Linked DNA regions of Mus musculus. The protein of the gene in region 1 purifies or fractionates together with the protein of each later gene. This does not show direct contact. Links are inferred from orthologs where the notes say so. Each region holds a gene or a part of one and is shown in the gene's direction. Other genes may lie near its edges.

The links.
Region 2: the proteins of Ccdc97 (region 1) and Sf3b6 purify together in Homo sapiens (affinity purification with mass spectrometry; 3 studies listed by BioGRID and IntAct, counting the BioPlex papers as one, with this or other methods). This does not show direct contact. The link is inferred for Mus musculus from reciprocal best matches to the Homo sapiens genes CCDC97 and SF3B6.
Region 3: the proteins of Ccdc97 (region 1) and Sf3b1 purify together in Homo sapiens (co-immunoprecipitation; 4 studies listed by BioGRID and IntAct, counting the BioPlex papers as one, with this or other methods). This does not show direct contact. The link is inferred for Mus musculus from reciprocal best matches to the Homo sapiens genes CCDC97 and SF3B1.

The regions. Positions count from the first base shown.
Region 1 is NC_000073.6:25,716,179-25,720,271, reverse strand, and holds the start of Ccdc97 (coiled-coil domain-containing protein 97), read left to right. Parts: upstream 1-1,236; 5' UTR 1,237-1,305; coding exon 1,306-1,354; exon of another isoform or gene 1,355-1,376; intron 1,377-1,992; exon of another isoform or gene 1,993-2,127; intron 2,128-3,272; exon of another isoform or gene 3,273-3,418; intron 3,419-4,084; coding exon 4,085-4,093. UniProt on the Homo sapiens protein: May play a role pre-mRNA splicing through the association with the splicing factor SF3B complex which is involved in branch-site recognition.
Region 2 is NC_000078.6:4,816,162-4,820,441, forward strand, and holds the start of Sf3b6 (splicing factor 3B subunit 6), read left to right. Parts: upstream 1-1,446; 5' UTR 1,447-1,628; coding exon 1,629-1,658; intron 1,659-4,280.
Region 3 is NC_000067.6:55,006,911-55,010,556, reverse strand, and holds part of Sf3b1 (splicing factor 3B subunit 1), read left to right. Parts: intron 1-2,839; coding exon 2,840-3,077; intron 3,078-3,646. UniProt on the Homo sapiens protein: Component of the 17S U2 SnRNP complex of the spliceosome, a large ribonucleoprotein complex that removes introns from transcribed pre-mRNAs.

The DNA.
Region 1 (4,093 bases):
GGAGAGACACTTGTCAAGTTGCTCTAGGAGAAGGTAAGGAGGGGTCCTTGTCCCTAGCCTGGGAAATGCTGCTCTTGGCATATGTGTGTTGGGCAGCATCGCCCTCTGCTGGCCATTCCTGGTGATGCAGCTGGGTTTTTACCAGGCCATTCCCCAAATGTCGGGAATGCTTACCAAGTTCTAACTCTTCCAAACCTGTTTCAAGATTAATGCACCACCTTCCTCGTTGTGATCTCCAGTTCCTTTCCTTGGTTCCCTACCCCAAACCTTATGGGTTCCAAACACCTCATAGGGCTACGAAGCCCTTTATGATCTGACACTGACACGTGGCCTCCATTTTTTTTTTTGAGTCTGGGTTCTCTGGCTGCCCTGGAACTCGCTCTGTAGACCTGGCTGGCCTCGAACTCAGAAATCTGCCTGTCTCTGCCTCCCAAGTGCTAGGATTAAAGGTGTGCACCACCACTGCCCAGCTTCCAATAATCTTTTATTTTTTGCTTTCTTGAGAAAAACTTGCCATGTAACCCTGGCCGGCCTTATTCAAGACAAGATTTCGTCAAACCCTCAGTGATATCCCTGCCTCTGTCTCCTGAGTGCTGTATGCTCTGCATAGTAAACAGTTAACAGCACCCAGAAGTACCTTTGTCAGCAAAACTGCCTGAAGTACTTCCTAACTCCTGCCCATGCCTTTCAGGTCTCATCTGGGGGCTTTATCCCTGCCAGAAAGTCTCTGACCCTGCCTGTGGTGAGCAGGTCCTTCCCTTTTACACAGCGAATTCCTCATATCTGCAGGTTTCCTTCTTGTTTGGAAACACAAAGGTTCTCCCCCCAATTTAATCTCATGCCAGCCCTACAGGCTGGATGTGATGATAGAAGGAAGTCAAATCTACAGAGAGCACAAAGTTGGATGAGATGGTTCGGCGGTTAAAGATGCTTGCTGCCAACCTTGACTGAATTTTATCCACACTCCCATAAGTTGTCTTCTGACCGCATAAGTATTTTTAAGAGGACTCGAGGGTCTATGCGATAGGGCCAATACAACCACTCCAAATATTAACACACGAGGACCTCAAGTTAGAGTAGCGATCAAATGACACACGGTCCCCGCTGACTTTCCCATTTGATAGGTTTAAGATCCATCAGCGGGGCTACGCATGCGCATAAGAGAAGGCCCGCCTTTGACCCGGAACTTTGATGCTTGGGTGCCGCATAAAGACGCTTGCGTAACCGGAAGTACCTGCGGGTACCTAGGGTCCAGCCTGGCTTCCGGAGCCCGCTGTGGCGGTTACTGTGTTGAAGAGACCTGTTATGGAGGCGGTGGCAGCTGCAGAGGTGACGGAGAGGAAGCCGGATAATGGTGAGACGTTTGCCAGGCTCAGGTGACCGGAGGGTGCTCTTGCGGTGTGACCAGGAAATGGTTCCGGCAAGCGCTGAGGACTCTAGGAAGTCTGACCGCCGCTTACTGGCACTTTCAACACTTGGTCCACCTTGTGGGTCTGGTTATTCGGCCTTGTAGCAGGTTGACGTTTCCCTTCTTCTTTGAAATGAACCCCTTTCCATGTCCTAGGCTAACCCACTTTTTTTTTTACCATGCCAACGCTTCAAGCAAATAACAACTCTCCTGCAGATTCTTCCAGTCTCAGACCAACCTTTCTCAAGTTAACATCATTTCTGTGCCAACCTGAGTTTCTCCGTATCCCAAGCTAGCTCTCCTCTTGTCCCATGAAAGCTCACATCAAACCAACAGCCCCCATTGCATTCTAACCCTTCCTGACCCCAACGTCTGCCTCTTTAGGTCCTAAAGTTCTCATTCCGCCCCTTTAGGTCCTTTCTCCCTCGCACCTTCAATGCCTTTTACTTTGCTACTGACTTCCTACAAGTATTGGCTTGGGGGGGCGGGGGCGGGGGCTTTTGTTTTGTTTTGTTTTGGGGTTTTGTTCACAGCCTTTTATTATTGCCAAGGTCAGCCTCCAAATTGCTGTCCTCCAATCCCAGGTCCCAAGGTACTGAGTTTACAGCCCTGTGCCACCACGCCTGTCTTTAATGTTTCATAGTAGTCTGATGTGCGATGACAACTTGGAACTGGGAGTTACTGAAGCTGAATAGCAGATTATGAATGTAGAGGCAGAGGTGTGTTCTAGTGTGTGTTTCAATCTTTGATAATCTCCAATTGTGGTGATTTATATCTGTAACCCCAGCACTTGGGAGACTGAGGCAGGAGATTACCCTTAAGTTTGAAGACATCCTAAACTACATAGTGAGTTCCAGACTACAAAGTCAAACCCTGTACTATGAGGCCCTGCTTCAAAGTATATATATTAACATTTTCTGTAACAAAATTGTATGTATCTTTTAAACTTTCTGGTGCTGGGCCTCAAGCCTTACAAATGCCAATCACATTTGCTACCATGAAGCCATAAAAGAGAATCTGGGGCAAGATGTGGTGAAATGGGCCTATAGTCAGGAGCCTAGAAGGTTCAAAGCCAGGGATTAAGGCCGTAGCTTATTAGTGGGATGTTTGCATAGCATGCCTGAGGCCCTGGGTTCAATCCCCAGCACCATCTAAACTGTGTGTGGTAGAGCAGGCCTGTCCTCCTAGCACTGCCAAGACACTGCTCATAATTTTCTTACCCATCACCTACTACAGCGTGCTCTCCACCCTGAACTTGTTCCAGTCAGGTAGGATCCCCAGGGACGTCCATTCATGGCTATTCAATCTACTTGATTAGAGTTTTGTTGTTTTGTTACATTCTCATTGTTATTCATTCATTTGTTTGATTGTATATTTATTTATTTGAGGTGGGGTTTCACCCTGTAGCCTAGGCTGACCTAGAACTCACTATGTAGTCTAGCCTGGTCTAAAACTCATGAATCATTCTACCCCAGCCTCCTGAATGCTGGGGCTATTTGTGTGTGTGTGTGTGTGTGTGTGTGTGTGTGTGTGTGTGTGTATGCATACATACATACCTGCCCAGCATCCAGACTGTTTTCTTACTATACTGCTTCCAGCAGCCAGTGCCAGCCACCTGGCACAGTTGCCTTATGAGAGAAACAATATGCACTGCTTCCCTTCTGTTTCTCAGGCTGCTCTTTCTTAGCTCTTCCAACTGCTATACCAAAGACCAGAAACTGGGTGTTTGGTTTTTTGTTGTTGTTGTTTCCTTTTCGGTTTCTCGAGACAGGGTTTCTCTGTGTAGCCCTGACTGTCCTAGACTTGATTTATAGACCAGGCAGTACTCGAACTCACAGGTGTTCCCCTGCCTCTGCCTCCCAAGTGCTAGAATTTGTGAGCTGCCATGTGGATGCTGGGAATTGAATCTGGACTCTGGAAGAGCAGCAGCCTATGCTCTTAAACGCTGAGCCATCTCTCCAGCTACAAGATGTCACTTTCCTGGCAAGCCTGCTACCCTGCAGTTTAAAAGTGAGCCATCCTAACATTTGCTGCTTCTGTCTTTTTTAGGCTTTTCATTGGATACTTTATTTATCATCATCATCATTTTGTTATCATTGGTGTTTTGGATTTTGTTGTTTGTTTTTTGAGATTTTTATTTTGAAATTCAATATCACTGTGTAGGCCTGGCTGGCCTTGAACTCAGAGAGATCCACTTGCCTCTGCTTCCTCCACGCTGAAACTGAAGGTGTGTACCACCATACCAGGCTTGTCCGACTGTCTTTCTACCTAGCCAGGGAAGCACGTAATATATTCCATGGTTGTTTGTTTGTTTGTTTGTTGTTTTTTCGAGACAGGGTTTCTCTGTATAGGCCTGGCTGTCCTGGAACTCACTCTGTAGACCAGGCTGGCCTCGAACTCAGAAATCCACCTGCCTCTGCCTCCCGAGTGCTGGGATTAAAGGCATGAGCCACCATGCCTGGCATATTCCATGGTTTTGTTAATTAGTTAGACTATTGACTGTGCAGCATCACGGCCTGTTCACCATGGTCTCTCTGTCTAAGGCCTAGAACATTACCCAGAATGTAGCAGGTACTCAGTAAACGTGAGCTGTTTGAATGTGTCAGTTCCCAGCCTCCTCCTGCCTAAGCCCCCTTCCCCTGATGCCCTTAACTAAAGACTCCTCTTGACTCTCAGACGGCGTGG
Region 2 (4,280 bases), on another chromosome or scaffold:
TTTGAGACAGAGTTTCTCGGTATAGCCCTGGTTATCCTGGAACTCACTTTGTAGACCAGGCTGGCCTTGAACTCAGAAATCTGCCTGCCTCTGCCTCCAGAGTGCTGGGATTAAAGGCGTGCGCCACCACGCCCAGCCTTTAAAACTACTTTTTAAATGAGGTAGTCGGATCACTAGTTTGCTCGATCTAGGGATAATGAGGTGGGTGGTAAGTGAAAGAAAGTAGGATTGTCACCCAGAAAACTGCCTTTGTACAAACAGCTTGCTTTAGGGAGCCTATAAATAAGTCTGCTACCTTGTGTACCAATTGGTAACTGTGTTCAGATAATTAATTCTCTAAACCCTCCCACGTATTTCTATACTTCATATTTATATGTTTCTATCAGAATGAGCAAAAACATGGCCACAGTATTAAGTCTTCACATAGGCCCACGGCTTTGTTTTCAGGGTAGACCTCTTCTCAGTATACCAAAAAAGCCTATGTAAGCTTGGACCTTCGACAGGTTTATGTTCCTAAAATCCTCTGTAGCATCATAGAAGGAGCCAGCTTTGGGAGTATATCCCATCAGTTTCGCAGCGATAAGGCTTCAGCATTCCTTTTGTGTTAAGCTATGTAAGTCTGTCACTTGCACTAGTATTTTACTGCAGCCTTCAGTCTTACCTGGTACAGAATGAGGGTGCACATTTGAAAGCATGCTCTTTCCTGATGGGAAGTGAAAGGGTGTGCTGTTTTAGATACTCAAAACATTAGGGCTAGGCAGGATGGAGAATAACAGGGTTAAGGCCTTTCTTCAGGCTGATAATCTTTTCCTTAGTACAAACGCCGGTGAAAACCTCCACGGAGCAGATTCTGCCTTTCTCTGCAAACAGCCCCCAACGTCTGCTGCTGGTTCTTGATAGAGTCTACCCGGCAACTTATATTCAAGTGGCTAATATGTGGGGGCTAACAGGAGCGCGGGCAAAATCGTCTTGGAGCTGCCCTAGTGAAGGAGGACCTCCGAGCAAACTCGGAAGTGGCCTCTCTTCCCATGTCCTGTAAAGCTGGTCTAAGGAAATAAAAAGATGCATGTGACGGGTTGTGTGCTCTGTTTGCGTGGACAGGGGCCGCGGGAACCGGGTGAGGGAGTTCGACGGTCAGGTGAAGCGCGACCTGAGGCCCAGGGCCCCGGGATCGGCCTTCCGAGCAAAGTTCAGATTGGGACCTCTGTTGGAAGCGCTGGCGAGCCGGGTTCCTCTCCGAGACCTGGGCGCGCTAAATCGCAGGCTCTGGGTCTGATCTCTCTCATGGACCCCGCCCCTCGCTCCTTAAGCCACACCCCCTCAAGCGGAACACCTCCCTTCCCTTGGCATTCGCCCCGCCCCTTCCGGTCCGCAATCCGGAAGCGTTCTGGAGCTTGCTAGTTCGCTTTCCGGCTTGAGAATGCGTTCTCTGTAGTGTGACTTGGAGCATCTTTTCTAGGAAGTAAACGCGTCCTAATTTGAGACGCGGACTTTCCGGCATTGCTGTAAAAGCTTCCGGCGCTACCTGGCTGTAAATACTCTGTATCTGACGCCGTGTCGCCCACGAAGGCGATCAGGTTTAGAAATATCCAGAGGGATCTTACGGTAACCTACATCAGCCCGCCAAGATGGCGATGCAAGCGGCTAAGAGGGCGAATGTGAGTACCCCGCTTTCTGCGTGACAGGGAAGCGATGTTGTTGCTTGACTGTTGCTGCGTGCCTGGGGAGCGTTTTTTGTCCCTCCGCCCATAGTTGGGGAAGCTTGTTATCAGTTCTGTCAAAGGAGGTTCTGTCCTGGGCTCGTCCTCAGGGGTGTGTTCTTTGAGCGACTTTTCGCCCCACCCCTATTGAGAGCCCCCTGGCATCAGTGACCTCGTAACGCCTAGGACCAGGCGTTAGGCTCTTCTGAGTCCAAAAAGACATACGGAGTAACTATTTGGTTCCTTGCCAGCTGGAGCCTGGGATTTTTCTCGAATGTAGAACTTTGGGAATCCTCTATTAATATTATGTAAGCACCTGCTTTGTCTCTTGTCTTACAAACGGGAAGCAATTCATCAGTTGGGTTTATTCAACACTACTGTGTAAAGGACTAGTCGGGCTTATGTTCTACTGTTGTCAGTGAGTGTTACCAAAACCTTTAAGGAAAAAAAAAAACATCTTTCAGGAAATTAAGAAGTGGTTAAAACTTAGAATCACACCAAAACAAAGACACATAATTGACCATTGGATATCCTGATGAAGATTTTGGGCAACCGCGATTATGTGAATCATTTCAGTGAATGAAAACTTAGTTCCTGTAAAATAAAAAGATGGTAGGAGTTAGGACAAAACTGTAGAGCTGATTCTATGATTTTTCTTATTAATAGAGAAATTGAATTGTTTTAAAGATACCTACAGTGCTTTTTATAGACCAACGAGAGTGAGCCAACATAATGGTAGAGACCTGATATGTAAGATTCCAGAGTAAAACTGGAATGTGGCTCAGTGATTGCCTAGTGGGCGTGAGTCTGGATTTGACTCCCAGCACCTCAAACCATGACAACCAAAAATAAGTAAAGAGGGGAGTGGTTGGTACACCAATAGAAGAAAAAAATGGTTGGATGGACATAGATGGATAAAGTTTACAATAGGAATATATAGTTACCATTTGATCATATCTGTTTTCTTCAAGAAGTGTGGAGCCCCGGGTCATATCCTATGTTGGCTGAGAAGAGTATAGAGCCTTTTCAAATTTTACAGGGGATGATGATGGTGAAGTTTTAGGAGAGAAGAGAGAGACATACACAGTGTTTTACACAGTGAAAAAGCAGATTTACTGGAGAAATATATTTGTGTGGCAGTTGTTGATTATCAAACTTGACCTGGAAATCTTAAACTTTTATAGTCTGTCTAATTATCACCACTACTCATTTGAAGGTAGGGATAAGCGTTTTTACTTTCATGTTTGTTTATTATTGTATGTGCACATGTAGAGGCCAGACGACAATTTGTGGGAGTCGGTTCTCTCCATGTGGATTCCAGGGATTGACAGCTCACCAGGCTTGCTGGCGAGGGCCAGCTCACCAGCCTGAGGGCAAATATCTTATCCTTTCATTCATATAATGCTTAGCTTCATACCAAAAGCCGTGTTGGTTTAATAAGTGATTACTGAAAATGTTTTGTCTGAGCTGGGCATGGTGGTGGCGGCGCATGTCTTTTATCCCAGCACTCGGGAGGCAAAGGCAGGCGGATTTCTGAGTTCGAGGCCAGCCTGGTCTACAGAGTGAGTTCCAGAACAGCCAGGGCTACACAGAGACACCCTGCCTCATAAAACCAAAAAAAAAAAAAAAGAAAGAAAGAAAGAAAATGTTTTGTCTGGTATGTAATTGACTGTAGTAGCAAAGAGGGACGTGTGAGTCAGCTGTAGAGGAAGAAGGCTAAGAGTGAGGAGTGTACAGCAGGTTCAGACAGGCAACAGACCGGGCCACAGTATCAATGTCACAGATAGGAGGAACAACAAGAAGGGTGAGAGTGAAGAGTGTATAGCAGGTCAAGACAAGCCACAAACTGGGGCACAGTATCAATGTCACTGATAGGAGGAACAACAGCCAGGCCCCTAAAAGGCTGACAAGGGAACGCTGGAATGAAAAGATGTTAGTAAAGACACTTTCAAGTGGTAGCTCAGGTCTGGGTGTCCTATAAAGAAGATGAGTCAGTCAGGACAGACTTTCCTTTGCAGCCTGCATGACTGAAAACAGAAGCAAGATTTAAAAAAAGGTAGAGCTGGAAAGTGCAGGGAAGGTAGACACCTTGTCTTTCATTCAAGGCATCTCTCTTAGTACCTAGCTCACTGTGTACATTTAAAAGGCACTTAGTAGCTGGGCAGTGGTGGCGCACGCCTTTGATCCCAGCACTCAGGAGGCAGAGGCAGGTGGATGTCTGACTTCGAGGCCAGCCTGGTCTACAGAGTGAGTTCCAGGACAGCCAGGGCTACACAGAGAAACCCTGTCTCAAACCTCCCCCCGCCCCAAAAAAAAGGCCCTTAGTAACTGTTTGATGCATAAGTGAAGAGGAGCCCAGTACTTTGTTTTGTGTGGATTGGGAGGACCAGATCAGCTGCTCAACTGGGGACTAGAAACTGGTGAGAAGGGAAAGCCTGTAAGAACAAGAGAAGTCACTGATGCAGGCTCCTAAGCCATGAGAAGGCGTATGAGTGGGATTCACTGTCCTTTCTTCCCCACGAGACACTAAGGATGGATGTGTAAGTGAAGTGGGGATCCTTGTTAAGTAGAGCGGGGTTT
Region 3 (3,646 bases), on another chromosome or scaffold:
GTGAGCTATTACTGTGAGTGAGTGGTAGGAACTGAACTCAGGTTCTATGCGAGAGCAGTTAAATGGTCTTAACTACTAAGCCTTCTAGGAAAGAATGTGTTTCTAGGAAAGTAATTAGGACTTAGACCTACCTTTCTTTTTTGCTCATTTATGGAAAAAATAGGATGCATGGCAGTAAGATTCATATTACCACCTTTTTTTTTTTTTTTTTTTTTTTTTGCATAGGAAGGGCAAATTAAGTTTGTGAATAATTCATTTTCATTCATTACTTACCTAATCCAGAGGTTTTTGTTGTTGTTACAGTTTTGAGACAGGGTTTCCCTGTGTAGCCTTGGTTATCCTGAAATTCCAGGCTATCCTTGAACTCAGAAATCCACATACCTCTATCCAGAATCATTTTTGTTTTCCCATCACGAATAAAAATCCTTATTAGCTGAGTGTGGTGAGAGTGAGGGAGGATTATGAGTTTCTGGGTTATCTTGTCTCAGGATGACTTACCCCACCTCCCCAAGCCCTGCCACCACCAAGACACTGGATATTCAGAGCTCTTTTACATTCTTGGATAAATTACTCAAATCCACTTCTAATCTTTCTTCCCTCTGAGCTTGCTGCAAAGCTTGATAGTGTGAGTTCCAGATACAAGATTCATGTGGTAGAGAGAGACAGTGCACTCCCATGGGTTAGTCTCTGATCTCCACGCTTGCTCAGTGACGTGTGTACTCAAACACAGGCATACAAATAAATAATCTTTTTTCTTTTTTTTCTTTTTTTTTTGTAGCTGGGATTAAAGGTGTGTGCTACCACGCCCGACTTTTTTTTTTCTTCATTAAGATTGGGTTTTACTACGTGGCTCTGGGTTGCCTGAAACTCAAGTCAACCAGATTGACTTTGAACTCACAGAGATGCACTTTTCTCTGGCTCATAACATATTTCTTTAAAGTATTTATTATAATACATGTGGATTCCTTCTTCCCCAGAGGTTCTAATGTCTCAGGGATCCAGTTTGGGGATGCACTAATTTCAGAGCTGAAAGTCTTGCATTGGAGTTGTAGATAGACAAAATTACATGAATTTTCTAAACTCAGAGTTTAAACTCAGTGTATATTTCAGGGTACCTTGTATCATCTGGAGATTATTACAGTAGCTTTGCTTTTAGTTTTCAATGAGCTTATTAAGTATATATCATATAAGAGTAAAAGAAAGCTACACAGCTTCCATTCCAAATGGCTGTTCTAACCATATAGAAGTTTAGTGAGCTTTGTAGACTTTTTAGGCCTGGTTATTCTGGTTATTTTGATTTATTTTTCTCAATTTACAATTTTTTTTATAATTTTTTTTTTAAAAGAGAAGTCAAAAAAAAAGAGAGGAGTTAAAGAACCATGGCAAATAATAGATTGATAGGTACAGCAGATAAATAAAACTTCATTGAATCAGGGTTTCATAGAATCAAGCACGGAGACCGCTGGAGTAGCCTGGTTAAGAGAACAAAGGTGGGGCTGTTAAGATGGCCAGTGGTTAAGAGCGCCGACTGCTCTTCCAAAGGTCCTGAGTTCAAATCCCAGCAACCATGTGGTAGCTCACAACCATCTGTAACGAAATCTGATGCTCTCTTCTGGAGTATCTGAAGACACACTACATTGTACATATAATAAACAAATAAAAAAGCCGGGCGTGGTGGCGCATGCCCTTAATCCCAGCACTCCGGAGGTAGAGGCAGGTGGATTTCTGATTCGAGGCCAGCCTGGTCTATAGAGTGAGTTCCAGGACAGCCAGGGAGGGCTATACAGAGAAACCCTGTCTCGAAAAACAGAGAGAGAGAGAGAGAGAGAGAGAGAGAGAGAAGAGGGGAGGGGAGGGGAGGGGAGGGGAGGGTCTTCTCATGGCGGAACTGCCTTCTCTTTCCTGCTGCAGCCAGATTTTTTTTTTTAAAGATTTATTTATTTATTTATTTATTTATTTATTTATTTATTTATTTATTTATTTATTATGTATACAGTGTTCTGCCTGCATGTATGCCTGCAGGCCAGAAGAGGGCATCAGCTCCCATTTCAGTTGGTTGTGAGCCACCATGTGGTTGCTGGGAGTTGAACTCAGGACCTCTGGAAGAACAGACAGTGCTCTTAACTTCTGAGCCATCTCTCCAGTCCTATAGCCAGACATTTTTATCATGGGGCAAATAATAGACGATTTAACTGTTTTCAAGAACAGTGTTTTATTTTTGGGCTCTTTTGCTATTCTTCTGTCTTCTTCCCTTGTAAAAGGGAGTCAGCCTGAGCCAGGATATGTGTTTTGGAAATAGTTTGAGACAAACATGCTTGGGTCTAAAATGGGGATTATTTCTCTTTCAGAGTTATCTTTTACAAGCTTAAGCAGCTCATGGCAAATTACCAACACATATATATTCACAAAGGTTTATAACCCAGAATGTTTTGTGTATCTTTAAAATTCTATTTATTTTAATTTGCATTTTTTTCATCTGCATTTATGTCTGTATTAGGGTATTGACTCTCATGGAATTGCAGTTACAGATAGTTGTAAGTCACTGTGTGGGTGCTAGGAATTGAACAGGGTCCTTTGGAAGAGCAGCCAGTGCTCTTAACTGTTGAGCCATCTCTAGCCTTGTGTTTTAATCTAGTGCTTTTTACATTGTTCAGTTCCAAATGAAAGCTGTAAATTTGTTTTCATCATAAGCATTTGCAAATCAGTAAGCAAAATGATATCTAACTTCCACTGAAAGATACATTTATTGTTTTGTTTTTTTTTTTGTGCAATAGAAAATTTGTAGTTATATCTCTAAGGTGTATAGGTATGTGAAACAAAATTCCTTTGCTTTGTACAGACCCCTGGGCATACCCCATCTTTAAGATGGGATGAGACACCGGGTCGTGCAAAAGGAAGTGAAACACCTGGCGCAACCCCAGGCTCAAAAATATGGGACCCTACACCGAGTCATACACCTGCGGGAGCTGCTACTCCTGGGCGAGGCGACACACCAGGCCATGCAACCCCGGGCCATGGTGGTGCAACTTCCAGTGCTCGTAAAAACAGATGGGATGAGACCCCCAAAACAGAAAGAGGTAGGTACTTTAGTGCAGTGTAGATGAGTGTGTGGATGAGGTGTTGACTCCAGCATTTTGTCTTCAGACTGAGGTCCTTATTTCCTAGTATAAATATAGATTTCTATAAATAACCAGCTGATGTGGATGTGCCTAAACCTACCAAGTTTATAAAACTTGTTTTTCTTGTACTGTTTGTCTCAGTACCCAAGCTGAAATCTGTTAGAACCTTTCTTAATAACCTTTCGACTTTGGACTGGTGACGTGGCTCAGAGGTAAAGGCTCTTGCCACCAACCAAACTGGAGGACCAGGGTATGATCCCTGGGACCCACATGGTAGAAGGAGACACCAGCTCCACAGGTAACCTCTAACCTCCACATGTGTATCATGGCATGTGCTCCCCAACATACACAGTAAAGAAAGGCAACACACTTCAACTTTGTTTAAATTAAAATTTAAAAAACTTAGGTAATATTGTACTCAATTAATTTCCCCTCTTTTGAAGAGGCTGAAGGTTTTAGGAAGAATCTTTTTTTTTTTTAAACTTAAAAAAAATTGTTGTGGATACTATTAGCCTTCTTTCTTTCCT